Linked DNA regions of Drosophila melanogaster. The protein of the gene in region 2 interacts with the protein of the main gene of each other region in a pairwise test. Each region holds a gene or a part of one and is shown on either strand. Other genes may lie near its edges. The genes, in order: Ttc1, CG4313 and CG42493.

The links.
Region 1: the proteins of CG4313 (region 2) and Ttc1 interact in a two-hybrid assay, tested with the Drosophila melanogaster proteins (one large-scale study listed by BioGRID).
Region 3: the proteins of CG4313 (region 2) and CG42493 interact in a two-hybrid assay, tested with the Drosophila melanogaster proteins (one large-scale study listed by BioGRID).

What each region holds. Positions count from the first base shown.
Region 1 is NT_033777.3:16,437,925-16,448,884, forward strand, and holds Ttc1 (tetratricopeptide repeat domain 1), read right to left. Parts: upstream 5,084-10,960; 5' UTR 4,994-5,083; coding exon 4,479-4,993; intron 4,425-4,478; coding exon 4,148-4,424; 3' UTR 3,919-4,147; downstream 1-3,918. Other genes in the region: ema (endosomal maturation defective), read right to left, coding at 1-75, 141-726, 788-1,249, 1,317-1,433, 1,689-2,479, 2,541-2,627, 2,684-2,826, 2,884-3,032 and 2 more; CG14882 (uncharacterized protein), read left to right, coding at 5,364-5,453, 5,504-6,778.
Region 2 is NC_004354.4:2,046,670-2,059,171, reverse strand, and holds CG4313 (uncharacterized protein), read right to left. Parts: upstream 6,489-12,502; 5' UTR 6,427-6,488; coding exon 5,867-6,426; intron 5,356-5,866; coding exon 4,732-5,355; intron 4,669-4,731; coding exon 4,227-4,668; 3' UTR 3,758-4,226; downstream 1-3,757. Other genes in the region: Sik2 (Salt-inducible kinase 2), read left to right, coding at 1-851, 907-1,188, 1,249-1,343, 1,405-3,052, 3,147-3,254; moody, read left to right, coding at 11,526-11,614, 11,981-12,121, 12,189-12,502.
Region 3 is NT_033778.4:11,773,324-11,783,591, reverse strand, and holds CG42493 (uncharacterized protein), read right to left. Parts: upstream 5,067-10,268; 5' UTR 5,001-5,066; coding exon 4,752-5,000; intron 4,688-4,751; coding exon 4,585-4,687; intron 4,529-4,584; coding exon 4,416-4,528; 3' UTR 4,357-4,415; downstream 1-4,356.

The DNA.
Region 1 (10,960 bases), on a different chromosome or scaffold from region 2:
TCGGCCCTAAGATTCGAGCCCGAAGTTGAGCTGGGACTGCGGCGTCGGGAGCGGCCAGCGCTTTCATTTCTAATTCTGCGGGAAGACGCACAGATGAGGATGGAAATGAGGAACATGAGGACACACCGACGTGAACTTACCCTTCGATGGATCGATTCGGGGCCATCTGGGTTCGACTAACCCCAGCGCTATTGCTTCCACGCAGCACCGCTGCAAATCCCGGCACTCGATTGGCCGTGGAGAACATGGGACGGTGGTGACTACTGCGCGAACTGCTGCCACTGCTGTTACCACTTCCGCCGCTACTGGATGCGACCATTGTGCCACCAACAGCGTAGACGGGAGAGTCCATCTGTCCAGGAATCTCGATGAGTTGCGCAATCTGGTACATCTTCTTTTGTCGCGCCTTGCTACGACCCTTTGTCAACCTCTGCTTGGCAGCCATGCAACGGATGTGATCGTCGAACAGGAACTTAGCCGAGAGCAACGGAGTGCGGTTGTGAGTGACTCCGCCCCGGTGCACGGTGATGTGCAAGCAGCGCGAGTCATCCTTATCACCCTGCACCTCTACGTCCTGCAGAAAGCCAACGAACTTTGCCACGCCCCAGCCAAGCAGCTTTGCATCCGGCTCGACGAGAATTAGCTGCAATGCGTCAATGACCAGAAAGCGTCTTTGCTTGCTGCTGTCCTTGGCCACAACGGTGCAGGCTATTAGATCACTATTGTCTAGATGGATAATGGTTAGCCTTAATATATACATACATCATCGTAGGAGGAGTATACTTACTCAGATCGAGTACGTTCTCCACCTGAACCAGATTGACTACATTTGTAAGCGGCAATAGCGATTCCTTCTCATTCAAAAACTTTTGGCACGTGCGACGCAGCAGGAAGTAAACGCGAATGGCTCGGCGTGCCTTTTCCACCTCCCCGCAGGGAAGTCGTCGCGTAAAGTTGATTCCAGTAAGTGGCGTTCCCGTGGGAGGCAGTAGAATGGTGGAGTCCATGCACAGGAATTCCACGTTCAGTTGCGCCTTTCGCATCTCGTTGTATTCGTCTTCGAACAGGTCTAGGAAGATGTCCTCCGACTTGTAGAAGTTACGGATCACCACCATCGACTGATTGCGGGCGCTGAAGAGCAGATCCTGTTGTGCGGCGGTTATGCAGCGCGAATCATCCGAGCTGGGACGGGTGAAAGTGACCAGTAACTCCAAGGCAATCTCCACGGTAATCAACCGAATGCGGGACGCTTTAGGGAATTCAAATGGAATTATTAAAGAGCTAATGATAACCGGAGTTCGAACAGTTGTACATACATGGCTGACTGGACTGGGTGATGATGTTTAACAGATGCTCAATCAAGGCTGTCTTATAACTGAAGGCGCCACGGGTTGATTTTGCAAGAACCTGCTCGAACCACTCATTCTTGATGCCTATATGGAAAGGTACATAAAGATATTTATTAAGGAGACTATGATAGATGCATACGATTGATTAGTACGGGCAGTGGACGAGTTACATACCATCTGAACGGATTGGGACATGTACCAGAATGTGACATTTTCATTACACACAAAGAAAGCAATTAGAATGAAGCAAAAATGGGGTGATCAGAGCAATGGAAAGTTACACAACATTAGCCAAAAAAAACGTCAAATTGAGTTAAGGGAAATATCCATGAATATTACCTCTATTGTGCGACATAGCATATATGAGGCACAGCGACAGCAGGGCAAGGTAATCGTTTTCGGTGCAGTCCAAAGCATGCAGGACCGTGTCTAAAAACGGTTTGGCCATCTCAGCAAAGTCAGCCTTCGTTGAGGAAGATGACTTCTGCAGCAGCTGCTTTTCCTCGTCAGTTATGTTGCGCAGTTTAATCTGCTCCGCTTCAACCGCATCTGCTTGAGAGTCCAGTTCTGTGGTGGCTGGGGATGAGGACTCCACGCCACTGTCCTCGCTAAGGGCATAGCTGGACGAGCTGGACTGACCGGTGACTGTATCCAAGGCCTGTTCGAGACTCTCGTCGGGCTCGCCGAAGCCAGGCACAACCACCTCGCGGTGCTCAACGTATGAATTAAGAATCTCGGCTGCACCCTCCTTAAAAACGCTGTGGTCACCATTGAGGATAACCCAGGCCAGAGCGTGCACCAGAGGGGCATGCGAAACCACCAGGAAGACCAATGAGAGCAGGAAAAGGGCCACGATGGAGCTCACTCGCGGATTGTGCATCTCCTGTATGTCGATGTCCACATTGCGATTAAGCACAGCAGCTAGATTCTGGGTAACCACTGCCAGTGAGGGCGGGGGCGGAGCTGGTGTAAGTGAGAATATGTACAGAGGCACGAATAGCTTATGCAGCAAGTGCTCGGTTAACACCGCGTTCAGATCCTTGATTTCCAGTAGAAGAATGTCACTCAAATAATGCAAATGATCCAGATGCTCGGCAACCAAATTGGACAGCTTTTGATTCGATTGATGGCTGCGGATGAATTAAGAAATCAATACTATAAAACGAGGGACTATATTACAATAACTCTTACTCTATATCTGTGCGAACACAAGTGTCTAGTTCAAGAATGTGTTTGCCGATAAACCAGACCAGATTACTGAAATATGGAGCAGCCGTTCTAGGGAGAAAAAAATAGTTTAATGGAGCTCATGGGACTGAAGGCAAAGGTCGTACTTGTCTCGAATAAAACGCAACATGCTTGGATTTTGAACCTTGTAGACATTTAAGGAAATGGTGCGCACTGCAATTCTCACCATTGACTCGGGATGATTAAAGAACTTAATAGCCTCTGTATACAAGGGAAAGTCATTTGTGTGCTGTAAGGAATATGTCACATTAAATGGATGTAAATATGTGTTTTAGGCAATGCAAACCTCATTGTAAAAGAAGTGTATTGTGTGAGTGTTTAACTTTAGACTTAGCGTCTTTAAAAAAAGTATATAATAGCCCATCACATCCTCGTCGGAGAAGTCAAACTTGTGCACCATGATAGAATTTACATGGTTGTTGCTCAACAGATAATCTGCAACGTCATAGGAATGATTACGTCTACTGTATTATAGAAACTGTTGAAAATTGTACTTACACAGGGACGTCTCGTTGCGTATGTTCTCAAAGAGGATGTTGAGAGTCTGAAGGAGCTGCACGCAGACGAAACTCGAGCCTCCACTCTTTTGTCGCATTATGTGCAGGAAATACGATAGCATATTCTTCTCCAAGAAGAAGCTGTTGCAAATAATTAGATTAAGGTTTATTACATTGAGATGCTTAATACTCACTCAAACACCAGCGAGTCATGCTGGTCGCCCCAAATCAGGATCTCTGCGATGCAGCGCAGCGACTCCACCAGCAGGCCACGATTACTTTCCGACACGGTGGTGTTCTTCTCCAGAATGCTGTACAGGTACTTAAGGTGCTCCAGCGACAAGCGGTTTTTGGGCCGCCCACCCCAGGGTCCGCCAAACCAGCTGCGACTCCGGAACATGTTGGCAACTAGGATGGAATCAACTGGCCACGATCCGCCTGACTGCTCTCATATCAGGGTAAGGAGGAGTGCGGGAGCGCTGTTCTCTTGGATCTTTGCATGCACTACTGCTCACGGTCACGCCACTGGGTTGGCCCACAATAAGGGGGCACCTAATGCCTGCGATTGCACGAATCTAATATTGTAATTTGCGAATGGCGATTTTTTCCAACAAATTGCTCTTCTTCTTCACGGGGAACACAAGTGTCACAGTCAGCTGTTGCTTCCGCCCATATTTATGGTTATCGGTATCGAAGTAACAGAGATGACAAGTGGCTATTTTGTTGTGATTGCATGAGAACTGCGACTGGTTCACGACTTTTAAAAACCTCTCAAAAGAACCGTTTGAATTTTGTAAAACCAGACAGTAAAATTTGGAACAAACCTCATATATTAATAGCATATCACACCATGCATTTTACATTAAATATAATTAATGGATTTTTTTGGTACCGTTTGTTATGAAAATGGGTTCACATTTGCATATTCTACAGAGGTGAAAATGTACGAGAACTGAATTTGATACGTTTTGCTACAGTTTGACTATTATTTTACACATCATCCACGAATACGGCTTTATTTGTTGATCTGCAGAGCATTAGCTAGCTAGGTTTTTATTTAAAGTTGATGGAATACGAGCCCGTGTTGGGATCCTGTTGCATTTGGAAATTCTGTGTAGACAGTCCGAACGGTTTGAGTATCATGTTGCCCAGGTCCTTTAAGCTGGACATCATCTCGTTTTTGAGCTTCTCGTTGCGCTCGTTTATAATTGGCGGCAGCCGAATCTGAGCCTCGCGAGCCTCCTGCTGACCGGGATCGATCTCAGTAACTTTTTTGTAGTCCTCCAGAGCCTCGTCGGGCTTGTCTTCTTGCTCATAGAGCTTGGCGCGCCTGTAAGATGTAATTAGACTTTAGAAATTTTAAGGGAGATATTAAAATAAAGACCTTAAAAGCACCCTCACATACTCCGGCCACAGTTCTATAGCCTTTGTGCAGTCGTCGATGGCCGCTTTGTTGGCCTCCAGCTTAATCTTGGCAGCAGCCCTGTTTCCGTAGAGAACTGCTCGCTCCTTGGAGCTGGCCGAGGGGCAAATGTCTAAGGCTTCTGTGTAGGTCTTGGCGGCGCCTTCGGCGTCGTCATTTTTGAACAACTCGTTGCCCTCAACTTTCAGCTTATCGGCCTTTTCTTTGTTAGCTGTCAGCTGCTCTGGGCTGAGATCCTTCTCCCGTTCGCGCAACTCCTCAATGGTTAGCTCAGAGTCCACTGTCGTTGGTGTCGCGATGGAATCTCCACCAGCCGCGCCCTGTTCCGCTTCGTCATCCAACGCCAGCTGGTTTTGCTTCTCCACGATCTCATCCACGTCCTTTTCGCTCTGCCGCGTGCTGGTGGCCTCTTTTTCGGTTATCTCCTCCCCGATCGCATCATGGAATTCGTCGTCACTGTTGGCGTTGCCTGCCATTCTTTTTAAAATTGATCCTTACCGAATTTACTGGAGATTTCGGTTTGTTGTTCAGCAACAAATAAAGCTCCTCATGCTAACGATAACTGTGCATATCGATAACACCGATGTCGTACAGTGTTGACAAAGGTAGGTTTCTGATTAGGTACCTTCCCAAGCTAAGAAATGTTAGGTACAGATAATTTTTAAAACAAATAATTTAAGGATAATCCTTAATGTTGTATTTGGCAAAGATGAAGACCAATTTAAAATAAACATTTAATCTTTTACAGCTTCCCTTGATAAGGGAAGCTGTAAATAAACTCTTTCCAACACTACCGCTTGTTAACGATTTGACTGCTGCCCATGCGAATTGGTAAATACGGGAAAAATGGACTTAGGAGCTTATAAATTGAGTGAATACATCCCCGCCAAGCCGCTGGTCGGTAATCTGGAGTTGTGTTTCACGGACGAAGAGCAGGTGAGTTAGGAGCTACCGTGAGAATAGCCTTTTCAAGCCTATCTTTGTAGAGACCCACCGAAACATGCGGCCAACTTAAATGCTGCGATATTTTAAAGTTCCCATTCGCCCGCCCTGATTTCCAGCCAAGTTCAGTGGAGATAAAGGAGAGCAAGGTGCTCGTGTCTGCTGATAAGGCTACAGAGACAAAACGCGTGGTGGAGCTGACTCTGGAGTCCACGTTCGATTACCAGCCCGGGGATACCATTGGAATTTTGCCTGCTAATAAACTCGAACAAGTGGAAAGTCTGCTCCATCGGCTGGAACTGTTAGACCAGGCCGACACCACTTGCCACTTAAAGTTGGTGTTCAACTGCGCCAATAAGAATGCTAAGCTACCCGCCCACATTCCAGCAACTACTACTCCCCGGGAGATCCTTACCCACTGCCTCTCCCTTAATTTTGTTCCGCAGAAGCAGCTCCTCAGCGCCCTGGCCGGATTTACAAGCGATGACAAAGAGCGTTGTTTCCTGTCCTGTCTGTCCTCTAAACAGGCCACCGAGTACTACCAATCGCTGATATTAGAGCAAGGCCTGCTTTTCATAGACATTCTTGAAGTGTGCGTCAACTGCAGGCCACCACTGGCATTCCTGGCAGAGCACTTGCCACGGCTGCTGCCGCGACCGTACTCCATTGCCAACAGTCCCTTGGAGGCTAGTAATCGCGAACTTCGCGTTATCTACTCGCTGCTCAGCCTCAAACCTGGAGTCACAACCAGCATGTTGGAGGCGGCTGCACAGCAAAGCAGTCCGGAGCATTCCAAAAAAGTAGTTATCTACCCACGAATGAGCAACCTATTCCGTTACACAGAGCGGGATGTGGGCAGAAACCAAATACTTATTGCTGTTGGCACAGGTCTGGCGCCTTTTCTTGGATTCTTAGCCCACAAGGAAGAGCTTATAAAACAGCAGCCGCAACAGCCAAGCGGGCAATCCTGGCTCTACATTGGTGCCAAGACCCCAGAAGCAGTTCTTAAGCGTGAAAAACTAATGGAGTGGCAGGAATCTTCGTTGCTCGAGCGCCTACGGATGTGTTACTCGCGAGGCGAATCCCCCAGCTACGTGCAACATATGTTGGAGGAGGACTGTGAGGATCTGGTCGAGTTCCTGATGAAGTCAGAGACTGTGTTGTACATTTGTGCCGATGGCGCCAAGATTTCGCAGTCCATTGCAGGTGTTTTAAGTCGTTGCTTGCAGAAGGCTATGCATCTCACTGAAGAAGAAGCTTCGCAGCTGTTAAAAAAACTGAGGAAGCAGGACAAATACCGCGAGGATGTTTGGCTGTAATGGACAAGTCTTAGGTGCAGTCAAAATAAAAGCTTCATTAATTAAGCCCTATAAATAAATACCTTAATATATTAGTCGTTTGTAACTCTTACAGAAAATTTGAATTTTTAGTGTGTTTGTTGTTTTTACGTACGGTTAAGGTCGTTTATTTTCATAATTGAAAATAAGTGTAGCAAAGGAACCACTTCCACTGCTCATTTGAGTAGCTAATGTATGCAAGTATTTGCACTCAGATGTTTGTAAATCAATTGCTATTATTTTAACTGCAGCCTCAATGTAAATAATTATAAAACAGAAAGCTTTGGTCGAATAAGTAAATAACGATATATTTAACAACACAAAATAAAAATTACAGTGCAAGGTAAACTAAATACATACAATTGTGAGGGCCATCTTCAATGATCGAAGTGGATGGGGACGACTACGTGTACTAAATGGATTTGGGTCTGTGTATAAAATTGACTTAAGTGGTAAATTGCAAAATATATCTAAATAATGGTAGAATATAGATTACGACTTAGGTTTCAAGCAAATTAAACGTGCACACATAAAACATAAAACGTATAGTAGGGTTTGCTCTTTGAATTTAACCGATTGGTAAAGCGCTAATGTATCGTTATTGTTTCTCCGCTTCTCTAAATATCTAGATCTTTTTATTTATTATACTGTTTACGTTTATTTTGGCAAGTCGTTTTGACCTTGCACAATAATATGCATTTTGTATTTTATCTACGTTTAAGTTTAATTGAAATAGAGCCAATTCTTTTAGTGTATACTAATATAATTACGAATCGATCAAAATTGATGTCAGCTTCTTCTTTCTCCTATTCGTCCCTTTACATTTGCAATAAAAGTTGCGTATAAAAAATTATGCTACTTTATGTTGTTCTTTGTTTGGTTTCAAGACTTAAGTTCCATTTTACATTTACGTTTTTAATTGCAAATTTTGCGTTCGTCTTAAATGCGTTTGCGAATATGTAATGTCGGGTATGTTTCGGTTTCCAAAAAGGCAATCTAACCCCGTTTCTACTGCCCCAAAATACTATCCGTTCGTTGCCTTGCCTAATACTCATTTAAGCTAAACTAAGAAAATCAAGTATATTTTCGATTAATAATTAAGCTCTTTAAAAATTATGAATGCATAATTGTAGGCCAAATATTGGGATTTCATTTCGTATATAAAATTTAACTATGAACCGATCTGCAGCAGCAGCAATCCATTTTCCCTATTAATATCAAAATTGCAAGTAAAATATAATCCCTATCGGTAAGTGTATATATAACAGATAAAAAAGCTAACACCGGCTGGCGAAAGATCCTTGAATGCACTCCTTTTTTCATTCGCCTTCGTTGTGTTTTCGTAAAATATCTGTAGTCTGGCGACTAGCCCACAGATATACTTTTCGAATAGAACTTGTGGTGGTGGGAAATAGCATAAAATATCGAACTGAGAGGATAATGGAAAAATAGGTAGTTTAAACCTTCTTCAATATATTCTCTTCGGCAATTGGCATTGCTTATGATTCCCGTTGGGAGTAGGTTTAGTGTACGTATACCACTTCTATATGATCTATATAGTCTTTCTAGGGACAATATTTCAATATTTCACTTTAGCTTTGACACACACATTACGGCGTTAAATAACATCTCTATTGTGATAGGGGCTTGTATAGAATTACAATTTTCTTTGTGCGTATGGCAAATATCTCCAAGGAAGGAACAAGGGAATCTACTTTAATCTGTTCTTTTGTGGCGTTTGGTTAGTCTTACGTTTGTACTAATTAAAATGGAATATCGAACATTTATCCCTCAATCCCGTCCACACTGCGAATATCAGCTAATATACATACAAGCTCTGTCTAGCTGGCTCTAATTAGTTATCTGTTGCATCGATATCTGTATTCTATGGGAAATGCATAAATTGTGGAGATAATCTTGCTGTGTGTCGCTTGCTGCTGCTAGCTCTAGTCCTAATGGCACTTGTTACACTCATTTCGACTTGCTATATCTATCGCCTTCGTTTTGTTTTGATTTTTTTTTTTTGTTTTTTGGTAATGTACAACAAGTATTGCATGTTCTCTGTTAGGGTTCGTTTGCACTTACTGACTACGACGAATTTTATAAAGAGTCGCATAATGCTGATTTGATAAAATCGCTTAAATCACAATTATGTATATATACGGGTATATAAAGAGTAATCAAACTTATGTCCCTACATTTAATAATACAGTATCTATGTATATCATATGTGCGTGTTTGTGTGCGTTGTTGAAGTAAGCTAATTTGCCATAGGACAATCTAATCTAAGCGATAACCCCGCCCCCCTGCCATCGATGAACTGCTCGAGCGATGCGATATGGATCCACGGTTTGGCGACGGTTTCCTTCGAGTTTTTCGGCCCCTGCTCATCTCTCTGTCCTCGCTGACTCGTGCTGCAAAAAGAAGAGATAAAATCCTATGATTACTTATTGTTGTTAGGTATTCAGCTCGGTTTACTGCACTACAGAAGAGCAAAGGGGCAAACAGGGAACGGGATAGCGAATAATTAACACATCGACCTCTAATAATTGTCATCACCCTGAAATTCGTTTATGGGCCCAAGAATGTACAATTATGTGCACTGAAATATATAAATGGACTTGAAAATTACAGACTTCGATGCTTGCACTAAAATGTGCCACGAATACAAAGTATGTTAATTTAACACATTAAAGTGGTTCTTGCAGTTGGGAATATATAAATATAAGTCCCACAAAATGAATTCATGTAACATCATTAATTTGCATTTATATAAGTGAATACTAGCAAGTTAAGCTCATGGTTTTGATATTGTTAAATGCCATGTTTTTAATATGAGGTCGAGCACACAATTTGTTCGGGAAGCGTAAGTCAAATGAGCTAATCAAACAACTTTTTCCTTATCGGCGGGCCCCTTATCACCGCATTTGATATAACCAGCTGATAGCTGGCCAAAGAAGTCGTTAAAAATAGATCGCTACACTCACGACAGGTGAAAGGACCTTGGGTAAGGGGGTTCGAGGCCAGGTGAACTGCACATTATTAATAATAATGCATTATCAATCCCATTTTATGGCGCCCCTTTGGATGTGTTATATTTGGGGGGCATCTGCATAATCTTTTGGCGTCATTCGCCCGTTTTGTTCGACCGCCTTCCCCGCCCAGATATCTCTGTTGCTGAAAAGAACTATTGTTATGCCATGTGAGAGCGGAGCACGTCAATTATCAGCACAATAATTGGTTATATTTATCAGCATGTGAAGCGGCACCCGCTCCAAAGTCACGCTTCGATTTCAATGAAACACGGACTGTCGAGCTTTTTCAGTTTTCCCCACAATTTTCCTTTAACGAAACCAGAGATGAGAAAATCTTAATGCCCAGATCAAAAATACATTTTAGGTATTAGAAATTTCATATTATAAAATAAAAAATATTTTCAGTAACAGTGATACAACAATCTCTTGCTGTTGTCAGTTGTCTTGTCGAGCTAATAAGAGCGTGTTCCAGATGCAAAGAGGGTCAAAAGAAGTTCACGTGTAGATCGTGTACCATTGCCTGCGAACATTACATTGCAATCCACTGAGTGAGTGGCTCCGCAAAAATATATATAATTTTATTGCGAGTGTACTTGCACCGAGTACGTGTGTGTGAGTGGATGAGTATGTCGCAGGCATTGGAGACTCTGACAAAACATTCGTTGGCAAATGCTACTAAAGCCAGTGGATTCGGATCGGATTCATTATAATACACAACTTTTGCATTGTTGGTTTGCATGATCAGCGCGGGGGGTGGTGGGGTCGTTTACTAAATCATCCCCCCTTAGCGGTCGATGGGAAAAATAAGTCGCTGGCGCAAAGTAATGAATGAATCATCTAAAATTCCGCATAGCTACCAAACAACAACTTGTGTGTGTGGTTCAGTTCAGTAAACGAAACACTTACTCACACACGCAGGGAAACAGCCGAAAAACCTTTCGAGCAAGGTGAAATTATCATTCGACGGCGCCGTTCGAAATCGAACTATATGTGAGTGGTTTAGTCATTATTTCTGGGTCTCGGGGCGTCGCTAGACCATTTTCAAACGACTCTGGGGATTCATGAGGCCCTTTCACTCACTAACGCACAACTGGATGCACAGAGAAAAACCATTACTTTGTCTATTAAT
Region 2 (12,502 bases):
ACAATCTGGGCGCCGAGCGGCAGACGTCCGTGGAACCCAGCGAGGACATTCTTCGCATCATGGCCGAGTATGTCGGCATTGGGTCGGACAAGACGCGAGCCAGTCTTAAGAAGAACACTTACGACCATGTCGCGGCCATATATCTGCTCCTGCAGGATCGAGTTAGCCACAAGAAGGAGCAGAGCAACGGCTTAGGCGCCAGCGCCCTTGCCTCGTCGACCTCCGCCAGTCGGATGATCTACAGCTCCAGAAATGACCACCAACCGACGCAGCAACAATCGCAGCAGCAGTCCAAGACAATATCCACCAGCTCGATCCTGGCCAAGGATCAGTGCCACAAAAGACTTAGCCGCCATCAGACGGTACTCATGAGTGAGCGTAACGCCCACGCCGGCGCGACACCCACAGTTCCAGATCCCGGTCCCGGATACTACGCCAAGTATGGCCCACTGCAACTGCCACTGCCTCTGACGGGCCACTCCCACCTGACTGGGTATCTGAATGGAGGAGGCGTCGAGGTGGATGCCAGCGGCATTCCGCTGCCCATGCGGTACACCCCGCTGCCGACAGCCGCGTCGCCCGCTCCCTCTAACTGCTCATCCACATCCTCGAGGGTAGGACGACACAGTCTAAGCTCCAGCTCGCCGCGAAGCCATCGACCGGTGGCCATTTCGCTCAGCATCGACAACAACCCCTCGCTGGCCAACCTGCGGTGCAGGGAGATGATGGAGGCTGGAGGAGGACCCGTTGGAGCAGTGGGTGTGCCTCTAGCGTCCAAGCAGCTTCATCAGACCATCAGCGAGTTCATCATCAAACAGAGCACCGAAGACTGTCGTGCGCTGCTGCAGCAGGTGAGTTTTCGGCTGATTCTATCCCAAGTTATTTCTATCCTTATACTTTCGGCAGTCCACAGCAGTGGCTGAGGGTAAAGATGATCCGCCAAAGGCGGAATCAAGCGTAGGAGGCGTTCCTCCGCCCGCCTCTACCACACCCACATCCAGTACAGCGGGACCGGAATCGGGATCGGCTCCCTGCCCTGGTGAGATTAACGGCAAGACAATAAAGACTATGTCCAGCTCGAGCAGCTTCGATTCTAAGGCCAATTTGGGCCAAAGCTTTCGCTACAAGATGTCCGCCGAGGCCAGCAAGCTTTTCCAGACTCTCCAGGAAAGCCCACTGCCCGTGGAGGTGAGTGATACGTGTGAGTTAATAATTGCTTCCAGCTGACAAATTCCATTTCCTCTCCAGCAAAGGACTAAGCGTCGTGTGCACGTGGGCAGCACCAATGGCAGCGGCGGTGACTCCGGCCAGGAAACGAATGATGCGAAATCGAATGGCGACAGGTGAGTCTTGCAGTCACAGCGATAGTTTCTTGACTAATGTCGTTTTCTTCCGTTTCCGCAGCCGCTCGGAGAAGAAAGTTCTGGCCCAAGGCAGCTCCAGCACAGATGAGGGCTGCGAGACAGACCAGGGCAACGATCCGGGCTCTGCTTCCCAGGAGTCAAAGGGCAGCAATGGCGGCGGTAGCGGTAACGCCAACGGCGGACCCACCTCGCACTCCAGCAGCGATCTGACGCGGCTCGTTGGAACCACTACCTCTGGACAGAGTCACAAGATGCGCTCGTATGCCAGTAGTAGCTCGTCCAGTGGCGTTCTCGCCGGGAGCGCTGGTAGCTACTCCAAAAGTCTGAGCCAGAACCTGAGCCGCGGCTCGTCCAAGAGCAATTGCAGCGGTCCCTACGATAGCTTGGACTTTGCCTTGCCTTCTGGCAAGGGCAGTCTACCCTCGTGCATGGGCTCAAGTTCGATGCTGGCCACGCCCACTCCGGCCTCGGCATCGCCAGCGGGAATCTCATCGGAGCATTCATCGGAAAGATCGCTGTACGGGAGCCACAACTCCTGCATCCATATGCCAGGAGCTCTGCCGTTGGGCTTGGGCCTTCCTCAGAGTTCAGCCTCCACGCCCACGCCGAATCCTACGCCTCCGCCAAATGGCGGTGGTGTCACGTTCCTGGACAAGCGTTCACCCATACACTTTCGCGAAGGAAGACGGGCGAGTGATGGCCTGGTGGCCCAGGGCCTGCTTAGCTCTGGTTCCTTGCTGGGCACCAGTCGTGTGTACGGAAGTTATCGCTACGAGCAGGCCAAGCGTCACGGTTGGCTGGAGATCCAGCAGCTGCAGCAGCTGCAGCAGGAGGCGGCTGTGGGGCATTCACACCCACATGCCCATCAACATCCGCATCAGCATCCGCATCCTCATCCCCAAGCGTACGGCTTGGAAGAACTCTGTCAATTTCCAAATGGTCAATTCTATGCTCTGCCGGGCAAGCATCATCCGCTGCTGACTTTGCCCCATCATCATGCGCATCCTGCGCAGCATCACCATGGCCATCATTCGCTGTTCCATTCAGGCCACCAAGCCACACCTCTGCTCCTGGAAGCCGCTGCTGGTGGGGATATGTATGGTCATGGATGCTATGCTCCGCCACCGCCGCCACCAGGGCTATACACGCACCATCAGTTGGGCGTGGGTATGGCCGTGCCCATGTCCCCGATGCAAAAGCCACCGCTGCAGCAGCAGCTACTGCAGCACCGCCTGCTTCAGCAGAAGCGTCAGTTGTTCCAGAAGCAGTACGCACTGGAGGCGCAGCTAGCCGGTCGACATCACCACCATCAGCAGCACAGCCATCACCACCATCACCACTTTGGCCACAGCCTGGGTCCGCCACCGCCGCCGGCTCCGGCTCCGGAACATCACCTGGCCGACGAGTTGTACGAGTTGGCCTTGCTTGATCGGCCCAGGAGCGGAACTCCTAGGCTTCAGCACTCCATGACCATGCCCGGAGCTCATGCCTTCAGTCAGATGAACCTCAAGACTTCCTACATCAGCCAATCGGACCAGGTGCCTGGTGCGGCGCCTAATGGAGCTGGTTCCGGAGGATCAGCTGCTGGGGTATCATGCTCAGCTCCACCGTCCACGGCGCCGGGTACGCCCACGGTCAAGTGCAAGCCTACCACGCCCCACGGTCACAGCCTGGACTCCGACTATCATGTAAGTAAGCTAGATAACGCATATTAAGATGATTTCTCAGGCATCCCAAGTTCGTATATAAACCTTATCCGTTTTCTCCTTGTGTCCTCCGCAGACATCGACGCCGGTGCTCAGCCTTTTCACGCCCAATTGGCAGTCGCTGGTAAAGCCGCTCAGCGAGAGCCCCATCCTGGAGATATCGGAGCACCTTGAGTCAGTCTGAGGCCGTGTGTGATGTTATTCGGTGGAGGGGTTGGGGCAATTCGAATGGGAGTAGATTTGTAAGTGGAAGTCGGTGGGAAAGGAAAAGGGGTAGGACTGGACATCGAACTATAATGGGGGCTGGACCGGGACCGGGGCCACCTTTTTATTAAGCTCGCAATCGCAATTATGAATTATTTGATCCATATACGATATACACCCATACATACATATAAATAGCCTATATAGATATGAATGCGGGTCGGAATCGGAATCGGAGTTACATCGATTCACGTTTATTGGAACCGATAGAATCATTACCGAACCGGGCGAAGCAGTAATATTGAATGATTTAGTTGTGTTACTAGTCTTAAGTAGTCCAAGTTTCGTACGCATATACGCAGACATATACAATATGTATATTGATAATAATAGCGTTAAGCTATAGCTCTACTTATGATTACACTATACACTATTGTATTGCCCCCACGACAGTGGACGAGAACAACGTAACTACATATATCAATTATTCGAAGCATTTATTGGGGGCATAGAAAGGGCGTATCCATATAAGGATATATCTATTATGTATTGGTACAATAATTAGCGACAAGCAAAGAAAAAAAAAACAAAATTTAAACAAACATCGATTGTTCTTAAACATGGAATTCAAATGTAAACCAGATATTAAAGTCATTTGGTATAAAATGCAATATACTTCTGGAGTTCCTACATTATATAGATATAGATATAGATATATATGGGTGATCTGTGTTTTCGTGTGTGCGTGGAAGGGACGACCGGCCGGATCATGTGACTAGAAATCTTTTTTGGAGGCACTATAATCACCAGGGGATCAAGGAATTTTTTCTTACCGCAGATCATTCAACATGACATTTGGGTACTTCTCCCATCGTATTACTACCATATGGCACACATATATCATATCCCGCTAGGACGGAGGACGATGAAGGTGTTAAGGCATCTGTCGGAGTCACGTCGTGGCCTTCACCTGCCGATTGGACTCCAGGTGCTTTCGCTTTGCATTGGCCTGATTCCGCTGCTTCTGGGTATCTGGAGAGCCATGGCAGCGCAGCAAGTTCCAGTAAGCTCTTCGGTATTCGGAGCTCATCAACACGTAGATCAGCGGGTTGATGCAGGTGGTCAAGTAGATAAGTAGATAGCCAGCAATGTTGAACCAGTGCACCTCGGTGGCGCTTTTCCATATTTTGGCCACCGTGATGGGCAAATAACAAATTACAAACCACACGAAGATTACCAGTATCATCTTAAGCAATCTCCGGTCCTTGGCACTCATCCTTCCCGGGTAAATAGAGGATGCATTTGAGGTATTGCCCATGGAGGCGTAGTGGGATTTCCGCGGGCTAAACCGTGTGAAGGAGGTGGTGCGCAGGGATGTAGTGATAGGGTTCTTTCTGGAATGGATTTACGCATTAAGGTTGAGTGAAATGGCAAAGAAGCCTTCAACAGCTACTCACCCATGGGTTTTGCCCATCTCTAGTTGCGTTTGACTGCGTCCCAGGCTGACCTTTTCCTGATCCCGATCCCTTTCCTTCTCCCGCTCCTTGAGCACCACATTGGCATCAACAGGCGGTGGCTGCTGGTCCTGATCCCTCCTCCGTATGCTGTACGAGATCGGCAGACTGTCCGTCGAAGCATTGTCATCGATATACGCTAAGTTTTCCTCCACCACAAAGGGTCGTCCTGCGATCGGTTCGTTCGCCTCGCCGCTGGACGTGGTCACCTTCTCCGGCTTCTTTGGTGTGGCCATGGCTTGAATCTGATGCTGCGGCGCGGAGCTGGGAGTCACATCGCTGACATTGGTCTTGCCAGCGGTTCCCGCGCGAATGGCCGCCTTTCGCACCAGCAGGAAGATTCGGGCATAACAGATCACGATGCAGATGCACGGCACCATGAAGGCGGCGATGAAGAGGAACTCCTTGGGGGATCTACCATACCGATCATGCATGATGGAACACGAGCCGATGCTGACGTCCAAGCCAAAGATACCCCATACGCCCCGCCAGGTGGGTATCATTATGGAAAACGTGGTGATCCATGTGCCGGCTACCATCAAAGCCAAATATCGTCGCTGGTAAATTCTGGAAGAACGGATTTGAACCAGTGGGAATTGTATTTTGTACCATGTCTAATTTGATAATAATATATGCTCATTGTATTCAAATATATTATTTTAAGATATCCGTAGCTCACGAAAATAAAAACTAGCTAGTTATTTATTTCTCCAGAAATATTGTAGTTCATATTTTATAAGATATTAATTTCCGTTCAGTTTAATTGTTTATTACGAAAATATTGAGATCGCTGAACCGACCTTTTCTATAGCATTTGCCTCTAGCAAGTAATGTTCTCTTTTTTAGTTAATTAAAAAACATCTACGAGAAGCCATACATTTTCCTTTTTATAAACAAGTTCAAAAGTTTATAAGTTCAGAAACACAATAACATATGTGTGGGTTTTTTTCTCAGATTAAGTGGTAGGTTACCATGCGTATCATAATAAACAGATAAGCACCAAGAGGAAGAGTTGGGCACTCTGAATACCCTTCAAGATTTAGGCAGGACATGCCGATATGGGCAGGCCCATTCTCACCTTGGATACTGCCTGGGATGGGCGATAATGATGTACCGGTTGATGGTGATCAGCGACACGGAGAGCAGGGACACCGCCAGCAAGCCGTAGCGCAGCATCGGAAACAACCTGCACAGCAGATCACTATGGGTCCACGCCCGCTCCTTGAAAGTGGACGCGGCCAATGGCAGATTAAAGCAGCCAAAGAGTAGATCCGAGCAGGACAAATTGATTATGAATATGGCCGTGGAGTTGCGGGTTTGACGACCTCGCGACAGGGCCACTATGGTCAGTAAATTTCCGGGAACGCCCACAATGATGAACACTATGCAGGCCACCCAGGCGATGGTCAGCAGCTCGTCCGAATAGCCCTCGAAGAGCACCTGGCGCCTGTCGTCTACATTGAGATTAAGATTCATATTCAGATTGAGGTCCACGTCCACGTCCAGGTCCAGGCTGTCGGAAAGGGGTACCGGCAACACCGCGTCCTGATCCGCCATGTGATCAGTAGCATAGGGATCCGAAAGAGGCAGCGCTATCGAGATCGGATGCGGAGTTGGTCCGGATTTTGGTGGGAACATCGCGCGGCACTTTGTGTTCGGCAAAAGACGCGTTGCTCGTTCCTGCGCCGAATTTGTACTAAAACTGAATTCTCCGCATCCATACACCGACATGGTTCCCACCCAAAAAGTGGGCCCGAAGGCAGTCGCCGCCAGCCAAGCGTACAAAATATTGAGAAAAAAAAAAAAAACAGCAGGCGAACTAGAAAAACTTTCAAAAAGGAAAACAAAAGAATCTCAGAGCAGCAACAGCAGCAACAACACACATTTTTATTGTATACAACAATTGACTTCATCATCGGGTAATTTGGTAATTTGCGTGTGGAATGGGCGCTTTGTTTACATTGTTCCTATTCGGTGTTGTTTCTTAACCGCCCTTCCCGCCCCATTCCGCCCCAATCCACTCGACTCTTTCGCTCTTTCGTCGATATTCTGACGGGGTCATGTTGCTGTTGTTGCCGTTTTTCAAAGTTTCAGATACTAGACCAGGGATACCATTGCCCAAAATGGTTCGACGTTTTAGCTACATACTTGAGCATTCCGACAGCCAGAACATACATACTTGCATTAGACTAGTCTTTGCATCAGTCTGGTGGAATATAAGTCATGAGCAGCATGGGGAAAGTTATCTGCATTGCTAACACAATTCAAGACTTATCACTTGCAATGAAGTAAGAAGTTCCCCTCCTTAATTGATACCTTGACCGATACGTCTTGGATGCTTAAAAAATTCGGTGTGCCAGAGGTTACATGAATATATTGGGAATACAATGAATAAGCTCCTACAGATGAATCGAGTCTATTCGTAGCCCTGATTTCGGGCCATACGCACCTCTCCGGCATTTTTGAAATGAAAAACTTTTCGGTTCCTGGGTCGTGTGCATGTGTGTGTGTGTTTGTGTGTGTGGTTGCATAGTTTCCTCTGGCAATTTTCTGGATAATAAATGGGCGGCATCCATTCGAAGCGAGGAACTGAAAAAAAAAGCAAAACTTTTGCGAGAGGGACTCATTCGAATAAATATGCCTATAGATCGAATTTGTGCGTAGAATGAATACTCCAGTCATGGGCGATTAATCCTGAATCATAACTCGAGACTATGCGTTTTTCACGCTCTCATAACCCGTTTCGAATAATGAGTCAAACCCCGGAAGCCTGGTGTCACACGACGTCAGCGTACATATGTAGTCTTAATTAATCAAGCCAATATGCCGGGGGAAACCTCTCTACTTTTCCGAGGGTCAGAGTGCGGGTCGTCTGTTGGGTCGAATTGAGTATTGTTTGCCTTTTGAAAAGAAAAACAGGCGGTTCTAGGGAAAACTCTTTGGCAACGGCACGAATACGAATACGTTGTTTGTTTTCATGCAGGCCAATAGTCCGGGAATTGCAGCCGACTACCCAAGAAAATAACATTCAGTTCTTGAGGAAATTAATATAATTATAGCGCCATATCGCATTCACTTAAATGACGAGAAATTTTTAAGTTTAAGATCCTAGGAACTGGATGGAATACAATACGTGATAACGAAACATATGGCTCATCCTCGTACTTGCGAAAACATGCGTTTTCATAAAACAATACAAGGCTTTATCGAGCTTAATCTAAACGTATAATCCCATCATTTTTTAAGAAATTAAAAGTGCACTATCCTTGCGCCCACCACTGTACTTGGAAATGCCTGCGGGATGGGCATAAAAGTGGAAACTAAGACCTCCCCCCCCCCCCCACTCATCAACCATTCTTGATATGATTGTGAATACGATTCGAACGCCAATCGACGCCCGCTTCGGATTCGAATTCGGATCCAGAGATCCAGACTAATGTAAACTTCTCCGGCGTACTTACATATACGCCTATACGCATACGCACACGCACGGGCCCATGTTTAGATAGCCATAAACTATCGTGTTCTTCACACAATCCGCAGCAAACAACAAACAATGAGAGTGCGCACAAATCCCTACGTCTTCAGTTCGATATCTGCACCGAAAACATTTATTACCAGGTCACAGTTCCTAATGCGATATGTGCGGTAGCTCCAACCATCAGTTCCTTACCATGCGACAGACCGTTTTTCCCAGTGCAGCCATGTTGGATCGCCTCGATCGATGTCGAATGTCCAATTGTGTAAACATTAGAATGCAGACACATGAAGCCTTATCATTGCACATTTGCTTCAGTGGAGAGAGGAAGCAGAAGCGGCGTATCTGCGATATGCATCTGATCGATCGGCAACCATTGAGCGGCCTCCACCCACACCCGCCCCTCGGTCGGTCACCAGATGGCCGATGGCTGATCGCCGATCTCCGCCTCTCTGTCTGTCCCTGTCTGTCTTCTGCGCTGTCTCCGGCCGGCGGGCGAGAGTGCGGGAGTGCGAGCGAGCAAGAGAGCAGAAGAGAGCGCCAAGTCGTGGGGGCAGTAACAGGGGCGCGCCAAATGAGGGGAAACCTGACTAACATGGAGCGCAACTGACGTGCGTTCAGACGGAATATCTAACGAACGGAGTATACCCTCCCTCAATCAGTTCCCTACGCCACTGGCCGGCGGCGGAGAGTCATTTAGACACTAGTTGAGAGTGAGAGTAAAGAGTGAGAGGGGGCTGCCGATTGTCAACTGGCAATATCGCGACTCGCTCTACGCTGCCCGCACTCGACGAACTGCACTCGATCCGGCAGTTATAGACGATCCAATACGATCCGGCACGAGAACGCAGGCGCTACGCAATTTGTCCGTTACATTCAACCAGTACGGATAATAAACAACGAAAAGTAACTACGATTTCAGTTCGACTTGAGTGACATTCGATACGATACCGTTGAAGCAGTCGCGAGCGTGTGCCTATTTGTTAGATATTTAATTCGACTGTTCCTTTTTGTTTTTGTGATTATGTCAAGTGCTGAGTTAGGGCAACCTGTAACCCTTTTATTCTCTACCTGATCTCGCGATTCAAAAGCATTAGTCATGAAAGCTGGTGCGACTTTTGAATCACCGACAGCAGCAAGCAATAACAAAAACAAAAAGCAATGCTCCAGTGGCGTCCCCAGAGCAACAATAAAAAACACAGCGATTCATGAATAACCCCAGCAAATGCCGAATGCCGTAAACTGTTTACATTGCTAACAGCATTACTCACTCACTCTTTCACCTCGCTCAACCTGAGCGAAAAAGAGGAAGTGGTGGAGTAAGAGTTGGAGAGGAGTGGAGTGGAGATCGGAGTTGGAGAGAGTGGAGAGAGGAGCACGACAGGGGAGCAAAGAAGAGAAGATCGCAACCGCACTAGTTTCCATTACGTGAGCAGAAAGCAAATAAACAAGCGATTTCGATTTCCCCATACCCAGTTCCCAAGTCCCGCCACTGTCCATCCTCTCCTCCTGACCACTGATAACGCGTCCGTCAGTGTGGTGCGGCACACGACTTAGAGGGAAGAGGAGAGGTTGAGGAGAGTAGAGGAGACCTAGACACGGAGAAAGCAATCAGGCCAAGAGGAAGGAGAGAGCGAGAGCGAGCCCAGCGATCGTTAGAATTACTAGAATCGCAGAGGATTACCAAATAGCGAAACCAAATTCAGCTAGGTAAGTGCTTTTTTGATAAGATAAGGAAATATTCTAAATTCGTATGTGTATGTGTATGTGTAAGCGAGCCAGACACATTGCGTATACGCCCCGTCGGACCGTGCTAAGTGGCGGCCGTGACCTGGTCGGGGTTAAGGGGAACGAGGGCAGCTGAGGGCCACAGAGGGCAGAGCAGAGGCATATCAATGCATGTACACAGAAAACAAATGCGTTGCACAACGAATTCGAAAACGTTTCAGGCATAGGCTAACGATTGCGTTAAAGATTCCCATACTTAATATAAGGCCAAACCACACCTGACTGCGTTGCACAGAAATCGAAACAGCGACATTTCCGACCAGTGCAGAGAATGTTACAAGAACATAACACTTGTCTCGATTAGCGGCCACTCGAGCGGGAACAGAGAATTACCATCGCATCACATCACATCACGCATTAGAGACGCCCGGAGACGACCGTCTCCGCCAAACAGTCACTCAATTAATTAAGGTTCGACGCTGATCTTTGCACCCCGAGTGGTGCAAACTGCTGAGGCAGTAGCCACCACTGAAACTACTACCGCCGAGCAACTGAAACCGAAACAGAGGCGATTGTGACCTCTTTAAATTATTTAATTGACACTAATTTATCATAGTCCCGAGGAAGCAGAAGGGGTGCCACGCCCCATGCCGGGTTACGGGCCTCGGACTCCGGCTGCCGGGCTACGGCTACGAGCGTTGCGTCGGCGCGAAGTGCAGTCAGCGCCAGCGGTTTTTTATTTCTTACCAGAGCCTGAGCCTCCCATGTGCCACAGCCACTGCCAGTTGGCAATTGTCGGCGGTGGCGATCGGTGTTCAGTGATCGGAGATCGGTAGCGGAAAACGTGGTGGTCATCAGCGAGGCAAGTTAGTCAGAGACCAGAAGAAGTGCAGACCTTAGGAAGTCGCGAGCTCGAGAAATTCTTTTGCCTTAAAAAAGGTGAATCATTGTTGGAACCAGCTTCAACACGACTCTCTTGATCCCTCAATGGGCTAGTATACTAGTGATGAGCTCCTTGTATTTATTCTTCAATTAATAGGGAGTTGATTATTGAAAAACGAATTAGTATTAGAATTCAAATAAGCAATTTATCATATATGTAGATATGTAGATATCATATATGTAGATTACGTTTTGGGACAAACAAGAATAGCCCGAAGAATGTACACATGAACCTAAAGTGCACAGGAATGCAGGGTACGGCGATCCCATTCAATCATCCATCATTTGGGATACCGGAACTTATTCCAAAAGAATATAAACATTTGCTAACCCACTGATAACCTTGACGGTCGTGATTTTGTCCAAAAGGATGATAACGATCAAGTTCATCACACTAAAGAGAAAAGTGTATCTCAAATAAAATGAAAAAGTCTGTTCATAAACACAAGCAGTTCATTTAATAGTTGTGCTTCATTCCAGGAAAATAAAATGATTCATTTGTAGGTAAAACACTTGGTTGAGTAGTCTATCAAGCTTACTTGATTTCCATAGTTCTAAAAGTCCGATTTTTTCTTTTTTATTCTAAAGCATGAGTGATGAGACAACTATTAGCCTGGAGGACGGCTATCCCCCCCTGGAGGCGTTGACAACTATGGTTCCCCCGGCGGACGCGACTGGGTAAGTTGGGGTGTGGATGTGTTGACAGTATGCCAAGTGGGTGCCAAGTGAGATGTAGCTATCAGCACTGTGTAATTATAGCCCCCGGCTGGAAGTGGTCCGATAAGAGATCGTTAATATTACGCGCTCCATTGCACCAGTGCTGATCGCTGGGCCGGCCCACTGACAAAGACGGGTGATTCTTGTAAGTGGCGAGCGAGCGGAAGCCAGTCTGATATGGCGATAGGCACAGGGCCATTTGACTTAAGAGGTCGAGAGACCTCAGACTAGAAGGATCATTTCAGAGAAAACATCCTGATTGACGGCAAAAGCATTTGGATTTCTAATATGGGAATATTAATATGTATGTGCCATATTTATTTGCAGTTTTTCGCAGTCGCTTTTGACATTTGCCGCGGTCATGACCTTTCTCATAATGATCGTGGGCATATGCGGCAACCTGTTGACCGTAGTGGCCCTGCTGAAATGTCCCAAGGTGCGCAACGTGGCGGCTGCCTTTATCATCAGGTGAGTTGCTCCTAGCATCCTTCAGAGAACGCCTAACCTCTAACCTCTTAAAATACACCCCATCTAGCCTCTGTATTGCCGACCTGCTCTTCTGCGCCCTGGTGCTGCCATTCCAGGGTCTGCGGTTCGTCCAAGGAACCTGGCGACATGGCCAGGTGCTGTGCCGCCTCATTCCCTTTATCCAATACGGAAACATAGGGGTATCCCTGTTGTGCATCGCAATGATCACGATCAATCGGTATGTGATGATCACACATCACGGACTTTATGCCAGGATCTATAAACGCCACTGGATTGCGGTAATGATCGCCGCCTGCTGGCTGTTCTCCTACGGCATGCAGCTCCCGACGCTTCTGGGAGAGTGGGGTCGCTTTGGCTACG
Region 3 (10,268 bases), on a different chromosome or scaffold from region 2:
ATTGAATTTTACACACATTTGCTGTTCCCAAACATGTAAACAAAAAACCGCAAAGCCAACAAAACATCCAGCCCACACACTTCCCCAGTGAGGAAAATGTGGCCCGCGGGCGAATCGTGTTTGACAAGTAATAAAGGTGATTAAAGCAAATCTAAACACTTGCCCCAGGCATTTGAAATGCCGGTGAATAATGCTCCACTGGGCAATGAAGTCGCAATGCACAAATGGGGGCGGGGATGCGGTAGGGGTCGAATCATTTGTTAATCAAAATGCAAATGTAATCAATAGAACGGAAGTGCCTGCCCCTCGACAGACCTGTAATTTGGTTATTGTAGTAAATGTAATAACATAATGGATCAGTCCGGTGAAAGGGCAAAATGAGATGGTCCAACAGTGGGTCAGACCAGAAATTTAGTAAGTTTCATTAATATACAAATAATAAATGATAATTAGGCCAAGGTTAATTAGTAACATTTTTGTTTTTGACACTGCATTAAATTGCATTAAAATTTATTAAATACGTTTAATTTGTCGGATTAATGCACTTTTGTATCCAAACTTGGGCCACTGTTAGCTGCCTCAAAAAGTCGCCCTTTGCGTAACAAGTCTAGCCATGACTCTGCCCCACCCGCGGCTCCACTGCGCCCCCAGTTGCATGTTAAGCGGCATGAACATGCTGCAAAGGGTCGCCCCAAAAGCACCCACCTTCGGCACCTGGTCCGCTGGCCTTTTGGCATTTCGGCTGCCATTTTCCTGCGGAAATGTACGCCAAAATGTTTGCGTGCCTCCAACGAGTATGAGAATGTAATATGTTGGAATATTTGATATTTAAGAAAAACAACGTGCCAAGAAGGGCTTTTACCCTATGGCAGGGGTACATATATGTATATACAAGAGGTTGGGGATGTGGCTGGGAATGACTTGGCAAATGGCGCCGGCAAATGCGTTCATTGAACTGCCACAGCGATGCAATAAAATCCACAAAAAGCACATTTAAAAGGAAAATAAATGTGTGTAGGACAACTGGCGACTAGGAAAAGTTACGAGAAAGGACAGCTGGAGATGGAAAACGGGAGTGGGGCAATCTAAGACAAACAGTGTGCGGATTTATGGGGTCGCTTTGGGTCGAGTCGCCGTCCTCAGTCGCATGTAAGAAAAAAAAAAAACGGAAGCGGAAAGACGCGAAACTGACACACAAATGTTGAGCAGAGGGTCAAAGACAGGAGGGGGGGGGCGCAGGGGAAGCTGTCGAAAGGACTGCCAATCCTCCCCTGCAATAGAGGCTACACTGAAACCGATGTAGCTAGGAAAACATTCTGAAATATGAATCTAATTTAAAATGAATCATTGTACTCAAAAATATGACAATTAGCACCATATAGTGGATATAAAATTCGAAACACTATTACTGTGACAAAAATATGTGTCTGTTAACAAGAAATTATTTTTTCAGCTAAAAGAAAATAACATGATATGATAAACTCTTTTTTCAGTGCACTCATCCTTATGCGTTCTTCTTGTTCTTTTTTGTTTGGATTGGCAAACGGAAGCGAATTAAGTTGCCTTATGCGACGAAAGGGTTCAGGACACAAGCCCTGACCGCCGAGATATCAAGCTCCTGGGGTGCAGATCGTCCTGGGGTGAAATTGATATGCGAACCCAGACAGATATGTCCCAAGAAGCCGCAGATACAGTATCTTGTGGCCTGTTAAATGTGCAGAAAATTTCAGATTTTAATGATCCACTCGGTTATCGGATTTTCAGCGCCCCTAGATTGCTTACGTCTCGATGGGCGGGCAATCGCAAAGAAATGTGTAATTGCCACGGCTCATTGCATAAGCGGTACAACGCGGCGGATTATTAATATTTGCCAACTTGCCTGTGGCAACTCAATAGATAATCGTTGCGGCAATTTGTTGTGAACGAAGCCAAAAATGTTGTAGTGGATTGATTTCCTAATCTGCATTAGCTTTACGTCATAAAACAGATTCACAGTTCGCGTATTAAATCAAATTGAAAACACAAACGAAATGACTTCTTTCCTTGACCACACCGATTAGATTTATTTGGACGCGTTTCAGACTTTGATTTAGAACAATGAAATTCCTTCTGCATTCGTTCAGATATTTGCTTTTGAACGATGATAAATCAATTTTCGCTGGCAAGCAAACCGTGTATACTTCATATTCACGGAAATTCTCTTTTTCACTTCACTTTTAAATTCCTCATTAGAGGAGCGTCCATAAATTTTTTATTTTCCAAAAGGCCACTTAATCTAGGAATTAATGTTGTCATTCTGCTGGTTTCAAAGTGAAGTTAAAAGTGAGAGTGAACGATTTTGCTTGTCAGCTGACAAGGAATTAATACCCAACGAATATGAAAATCTCCCCAAGTCAAATAGTGAGGTAATCAACAGTTAAAAACGCAGTCAAGGTCCAAACAAGGTGAGTTTCCCGAAAAATATAATTGAATCTATTTATAAATATCTTATTAAAGCATATTATTTCACTCAAGCTTGCCGCTTTTCTCTTTTATTTTCTCGAAATGGGTGTGACTAGCTGGGTGTGCAACTGTGGCAAGTGCAACGCCCACCTGGCAAAAGGGCAATTTGTTGCGCTTGGTTGCGCGTGGAAATTATGATTTTTGCTTTTGTGAAAATCTCATTAGGCGCTGAAAAAGGATGCCGATTTTTGTAGCCATAAATATAGGTTGCTTGCCCGCGATTTGCAGCTCAACTTTAAACGGCCATCCTAGTGGGTCCGCCTTACGTGGCGTTTTAATTAAGCTCAGCGTTTTATGGATACCTTCTTTAATGGCACCGCATAAATTCTAGAGGAGCCAGTCGGCAGCTTGGATCAGGAGTTTTAGCACTCCGACCCCGATTCAGATCCAGGGCATAAAACGCACGGCAGGCAGTCGGAAAGTGAATTTTATGCCAATCATTAAACAAAGTTGTGAACAACAAACCAAACTCAACCGCTTTGTATCGGGAGTTATGTCGTTGATAACTTTATCCCCAACTTTGTAGAGCGAAGCAGTGCGGATCGGATCGAATCGGGGGAGCTCCTTTCCTTATCGATTGCCTGATAAATGTTTGACACAGAGTGTGGGCTGCACTCGAGGAGGGTGTCATTCAACTCAACTGCAACTGTATCTGCTATGTGTAGCTGTATCTGGTAAATAGGTTTTATGGTTCTCTAAAGACCTGCTTATTATAACTGGATGTTAGTATAAACATGGGTTATGGGCTCAAGCGATGACTCACCGTTGCAGTAAACACTGAAGTGGACTGTGATAGGAAACATTGTGCTCTCAATTGGACTTTATATTTGTCACTTATTCATATGTACGAAATACTTATATGATAATGATTTTATTCAAAATAAATATTGTGTAAAAGGAAATGGGTGTCTAGATTATTTCTAAATAGCTGCTGCTGTTTGTAGACGTTCAACAGACATACGTTCAAAGTATTAGTCATCTATACAAAGTGACACATGTATCTTAAGTAAGTGAATATTTCTTTAGAAATATTATTAAGGAAGTGATTATTTGGATACCCTGTTTCCTGCTTTCATCACATACTTAATTAGGGGTCACTTAGGTGTGACTCATGCACTAGGAACGCCGCACTACTTATATAAAATCCCACCAGTTGATTTTGGGTATCACTAGTCCATCGGATTATCCGTTAATATACGATTTAATTCATAATGAATGCGTGACCATAAGCTGTTCGTGATCGGCGCTGATTTGGCTCATTTGTAGTTAAAACGCTTTGGAAGCTGATTTACTCGTCGAGTTTTTGCATATCTCATGAGCAGCATGAAATCCGAATGGGAAACCGAATGATTTATTTGCAAATGCAACATCGAAATGCACTCACAAAATGAGCTTTTAAGTGGCCGGCCCTCGACTTTCGACTTTTTTGTTGTTTTTATTTGGCCTGTGTTGACTTCACCCTTTTTGGGGGGAAAAAAACCGAAAAACTCAGTGGGAACTGTCACCAAGTGCTCCACATTTGTGTGTAAAGCTTATTAAGAAATGTTTATTCCGCCTTCTGTCTCGCTCTTTCTGGGGAGCCTGCTTCCCTCTCATTTTTATCGAGTTTAATGGATTTTTAATGAGTCTGAAGCGGGGCTTTTGACGGCATTTTCGGAAAGTGCAGTTTCATTATCGCTTAATCCTGTTTGCCTTTCAGGAAAGAGGAAGACAAGCACACAACAAGCGACGATTCAAAAAGGGGAGGGTACAGCCTACTGAGTTCGGAAAAATGATCAAAAATTGATATTATCGGTTATTTGATTTAATGCATAAATAAGGTATTTAGTTCATATAATAAAAAAAACTACTTATACTTTATAAATCGAATTTATTGCCTTTTGAATTAAAAAAATGCTTACATTTGAGGCATTTTAATCGCTATCACTACTAGTTGATTCCTCACTGGAATCGGATGATTCCTCCTGAGACTCAGCCAACTCACTATAATAGGACTTCACCACGATCAAACAGTATCCGAGGGCAACTTAAATGTAAAAATGTTATAGTTGGTCATAACACATCCAATCCCAACAAACATACTTATTCTAAGGATTAGCAAGCTATCCAACAACACGGTGACAAGGGTGAACAAAAATACCATGTAGTTTATCAACAGCCAAGTTCCGATTATCAAAAGTTTGTGCTGAGTTTAGAAGGATTTTTGAGATAGGATTTGCTAGATTTCGCATAAACTCATTCGAACTCACGTAAAAGACGGCATAGATCAAAAGAAAGTGGTTGGTCATCATCAACCAGAAAACGGTGGCAAATCCGGACACACAGATTCGGGTGTCCATGGTTCTGAAGAACTCGACCACATAGTCTGGATATTTGTTTCTGATAACCATGTCCCATGCAATGCTGCCCACGATGAAGTCCGTGAGTCCAAAAGCAATGCCCACAGTAATAACGCCATATTTCAATGGCCAACAATACAAAAATTTTCTTAAATGCATATTTTCTGAAAGTCGGTAAAACTGAAAGATAATGACGGAGCTCTTGGTTTTTATTTTGGATTAGAAATTATTTTGTTTTCTATTCAAAGAAAATATTATCCAGCATCACAACTATTGTGCAAATTTTGAACACAATTTTTTTGTTGCATACTTTTTTTTAAGAATCTTTCAAGATGTCTGCGATGAGAGATGTAAACATTTATATCAACCTCTTCCACATTATGCTTAATTCTTAATTAGGTTAAACAATAACACATTCAGAAATTGTGCACATGTGCGACTCGAATGAATAAAATTGGACTCGCATAGATTGGAGGCCAAGAGTCCATTCGAAACGGAATCACCTGTCGGTGTAACGAGTGTCCAGCTAACTGAAATTACAGTTAGTGGTAGCCCGTAATCCTACACACTCGTCTCTAGTATTTGGCCATCGGCAGTTCCGAGAATTCTAGTTCTGTAGACAGCAATTAGATAGACAGAGACAATGCCAAACAAATCAAGTCAAATACAATAAACGCCCTGGCATTTTATCAGCTCCAAATCAGACATAACATCAGCCGCCGGGGCTCTCGAGTGTCGGGCCCTCAGATCGCCAAGTTTTGGTTTACAACGCAAAAGCGACAAGAAGCGAAAAAGGGTTTGCCTGCGTGAACATTCTTTGATCAATCAAGTGACGCGGAAGCGACACAGATAGCTGATAGCAGATAGCAGTTAGCATTCCTTGCCTTCTTGGCCTAGTCATGGCTAAAATATTTGGCCAAAGTCTGTCAGGGACTTGCATAACGAGGGTACACAGTTGAGACCCCAGTGAGGGTCGTTCGCCCGGATCGATCGATAAGGGAATTCGGCACTGCAAAATGTGCGATCGAGTGGAGGCATTGAGTACCCGTACTTCAGCCCAATTATCGAGGTGGTATTTTAATTAGGCTGTGTAATCACAGCTCAGCTCAGCTCATCGAGGCCGTACTGTATTAGCCAATTGACCGCAACTGTACTCCTGCAACAGTTAGCAAATGGGACTGACCTATCTTACACTGATAACGATCGTGGACAGCGAAGGTTCTTTTCATTTTTGGAACCAAGGATCCAAAATAGACCGTGGCGACGGTCAACTGGATTAGAGTCAAGCTGAACGGATCGGTTTTAAATTCCCCTCCCAGCGGAAATACCCAAAAATAGCATCAGTTGCCAATGTAAATTTAATTATGGTCAAGCTTTAGGTATTATTTGCTTTCTTTTCGGTTCCTCACGTATGATTATATTAGCGGGGCAAAATATAAAAATACAAGGTTAAAGTGCTTCTAAGTACAGTTGAGTCCGCCACGCGTCGTTTGTTATCGTTTTATCGATATCGCCGAATATGTTGCTTCAGTTGTTAATCCAAAATACAACATGGCATTTGACAAGCGAACTAATTGATTTGATTCTCGTGCCGTGGGGTTGCGCCAACAAAATGCGCCGATTGCAAAATCACGCATATAATCGACGCCATGGTACCCTGTGAAAACGGGAATGAACTAAAAGTATGTTTTTCGAATTGAATTGCATTTCTTATAAAAAATACTAATATATAGATTTAAATTTATGTTTAAGATTTAAATTTGTATTTTGTTGAATATATATCCATCCAAAAACATGGTGGAATATTTTTGGGTTCATGGTGAATATTTGGAATTCCTTTGATATAAATATTTACATTAAAGATCCCGATTAAGACCTCATTTACCTTTGCAAAGCTCATTACGTCTTCAAATTTAGAACTTAAGCTCACTGGAATAGCAAACCTATTGCTAAGTTTTGTTTTTGCACAACGGAATGTTAAACATTTTCGACTTATGGAAACTAAATAAGGTCAAAGAAAATGACTGGATATTGGCCCACGGAATCCAGAGTTGCTCAAAAATTTGGTAAGGAAAAGCTAAGAAACTGCCTGAGTAAGTAGACCTACAAACAAGTACCAGTCTTTTGTATCTGTTGATAGACAAATATAATGCTTCGCAATGTGGAATATTCCGAGAGCCTTTTGGGTTCTTTAGCCGACAGTTGCCTCACTGATAAGACAAAATGCGTTTTGCAATAACGGAACAGCTTTATAAGCCCCCATGAATAGACCTATTTTCTGTTTGTCTTCTGACGACGGGGCGGTCTATGGGAGGGCTTCGCCTTGCATGTTACAGGAAATAAACAACAGGCAGTAATTATGCAGCACAAACAGTGGTGTTTATAACAGTTTTCCAGCCCAGACGTAGCCAAAACACCAAATCATGGTAACTTGCATCGCATGGATATGGCATGTGGCATATGCCATATGGCACATGGCACAAATCATCATCATAAACAGCTCGTCGGCTGTCTTTCTTCGCCGGGTTCTGTTGTCAGCACAATCACAATCACAAAAAGGCCGCCTGGCGCTCAACTGCCCGCAGAACGCTCCATAAAAATTGGGGCGGGGATACACTGAGCGGAAGTTTGGCTTGCGATAAAAGCCAGTGGAAAAGGGAGTGTTCTCTGTGCATATAACCCAAAAATAAAGCCCTGGTTCCTGCGGGGCCTTTATGAGTTGCAAGATGAGATGGTATAATATGCGGAGTCAGGGGATCTACAATACAAGTGGGTCACCTGCGGTTGACATAAGCTATTGCAATGACAGGTGGTAGTGCTCGGGTTGGTCGCACTGCAGTGAAAGTGATCGTGGGGGTTCCCATTTTCGAAGCTGGAATACTAGGAGCTCCAACTTTAGAACTCAGCTATTGGGTCGCGAAAATCAATAAAGAGTAGAGAGTTCATTTAAATGTAACTATTTATAATCAAGAACGAAGAATAAAATAATCATAAACAAGCATACAAACAACAATTAATAATGATATAAATTAAATTATTAACTTAAATCGTGCAAGCATAACAAACTACATATTCAAGAAGCTGCTCTATTAAACACACCATTTCAAAAATGTTTAAGTATGGCTATTAAGTACAAATATTACCGGAAGACTCTTCGTTAAACAACAACCATTAAAATTCCATTTCGCGATAATTCCACCCAATAAAAACGCTCCCCAAAACAATGCTTCCGAAACCCCGAGCAGCAAACAAAAACCACCTGAAAAGCAATCGATTATCACTTTTGATGTGCTGCCAAAAAGGCGCTTATCTAAGTGCGCAAATAGCTGGGGCTAAGCTTTTTCTTTCCACACGCGGCGTTGGAATTTCGCTCAGTGCATTGTCAGTCATTCAATGCCGCCTTTATCGCCTTTGAGAGGGCGCCAAAGGCAGAGAAATGCGTGTCAGATAGGACAGTCCAAAAGGAGCCCCCTATCTCGTATTATAACAAATAACAATAATATGAAAAAATAATTGTGTCTTTTTGTTTGCTCTATATGTCAGCTGGAAGCGCCGGCCAGGTGGAAAAGGTGCTCCACGAACTCCGGAGGGCCTGTGCTTAGCCTTCCCCATTTAGATACAGATACAGATACCCGCCGCACTGCGTCGATTGGGCTGTCAGTATCTTTATATTAATCAATAAGAGCAGCTCCGATAAGATTGTGGAGCTCCGTCTGCTGCTGCTTCTATCGAATGGGGCAAAGTGGGTGGTGGGTGGTGTAGGCTGGTGGCCGGAGGACTGGGACACAAGTGGGTGGGTGGATATCCTTCAAGCAATGTCCTATGACCCCATGAACATGGTAACCAAATTGATGTTACACTGAAGTTTTATATTTTATTCAAATACAATACCACTACAATTTGTTGGCACTAATATGACCCAGTAAATAATAATAATAATATATATGTATTAAACATAAGCAAGTTTTAAATCATGAAATTGTTTAATCTAACGTGCATAACATCGTAGTATGTATACTTTATTTCTATCAGTGGTTCTGATAACATTCCCGACTGACATTCGCCAATTGATAAAACCATTGTTTGTGCAGCATTTATTAATGTATAAATTATATAGTTTGGGGCAATACTCCTTGGCCAGCTGCCAGCTAACTTGGCCCACTGTGCTCCATCAATTTCGCGTGCGCCAATAATATTTACATAAAAAAAAAAAAAACAAATATTCGCCAGACCAATTTGTTATTCAAAGTAATAACAGCGAATGCCCGCAAAACATCTGCGCAGTAAAGAGGCTATCTTAACGTGTCATTTATTTTAATTGGTCAGCAGGGTAATTGCTAAAAAAAACAATAAGCTTATATAAGGGCCACAGCATCACGGCACCCAGTTATCCTAGTCTGAGTTTGTTTGTTTCTTTCAACCACGTTTAGATGATTTTCGGTTCAAACCAGAACATCGATAAGAAACCAAAGTACATGTCTGGCCAAGTGCGACCGTATTAAATTTATATAAGGTTGCGCGATTGGCAAATTACGGACGGTATTTATACCATTTTAGAGATATGATAGCGATGGGATAGGCTAGCAGCGATTGCTTTTACACTCTCCATACAAAAGCACCGATTTCTGGACGATTAAAAGATGGGATGTTTATCTGTTGGATATCAATTGAAGAACATTCCGGCAATACGGCATCGATGTCAACTTAAGTCCGAGGAAGCATTTAATCCCAGGAAAAGTGCAATATTTACCCACACATTAATAGAGTCAACAGCGGCAGATTGGTGGAACAAAAGGAGGACTTCACTTTGAAAGCGGAAATCGTGGCGTAAAAGTCGGAAAATCGCTTTACAGCGAAAGCCTTTTATGTCTGAAGACCAAATCGATACCACAATCGAATATTTTGCCGGGTAGCATAAATCAAAATCACTGACAATGTCAAGAGGTCTCAACTGCGCCTGTTTTCCAGGAATAGAAACGAAATTTACGACTTGGCTTCGGGATCATATCATGTTCATATCATATCACATTATGTCCAGATAGCTTAGACTGCATGTCCACTTCACGTATCTCAAAGTTTTTTTTTAATCATTTGTCTGGGCCAGCATTGTGTATCCACGTTTCAAGATTGGCAGCTTGATTTCGGAATGTATCTCGTTTTTGGCATCTAACAATGTGCAGTGATACACACAACAGTAGAGAGGCTATTTAAAATGAAAGAAACATGACCTTTGGGCAACCCTGAGGCTTTGGGGAATCCCATTCGCTGTGACAATTATCATTCACCCCGATACCACCAAAAATTTGTGGCATTCTTGAGGTAGCCCGATTTATCAATGCCAGTCAGAGTGATTATGGGAAACACGTTTTATTCGCACTCTCCTATCGCAAAGCACGTTTTTAAAACGCGACGCGAAACTTTCCGCTG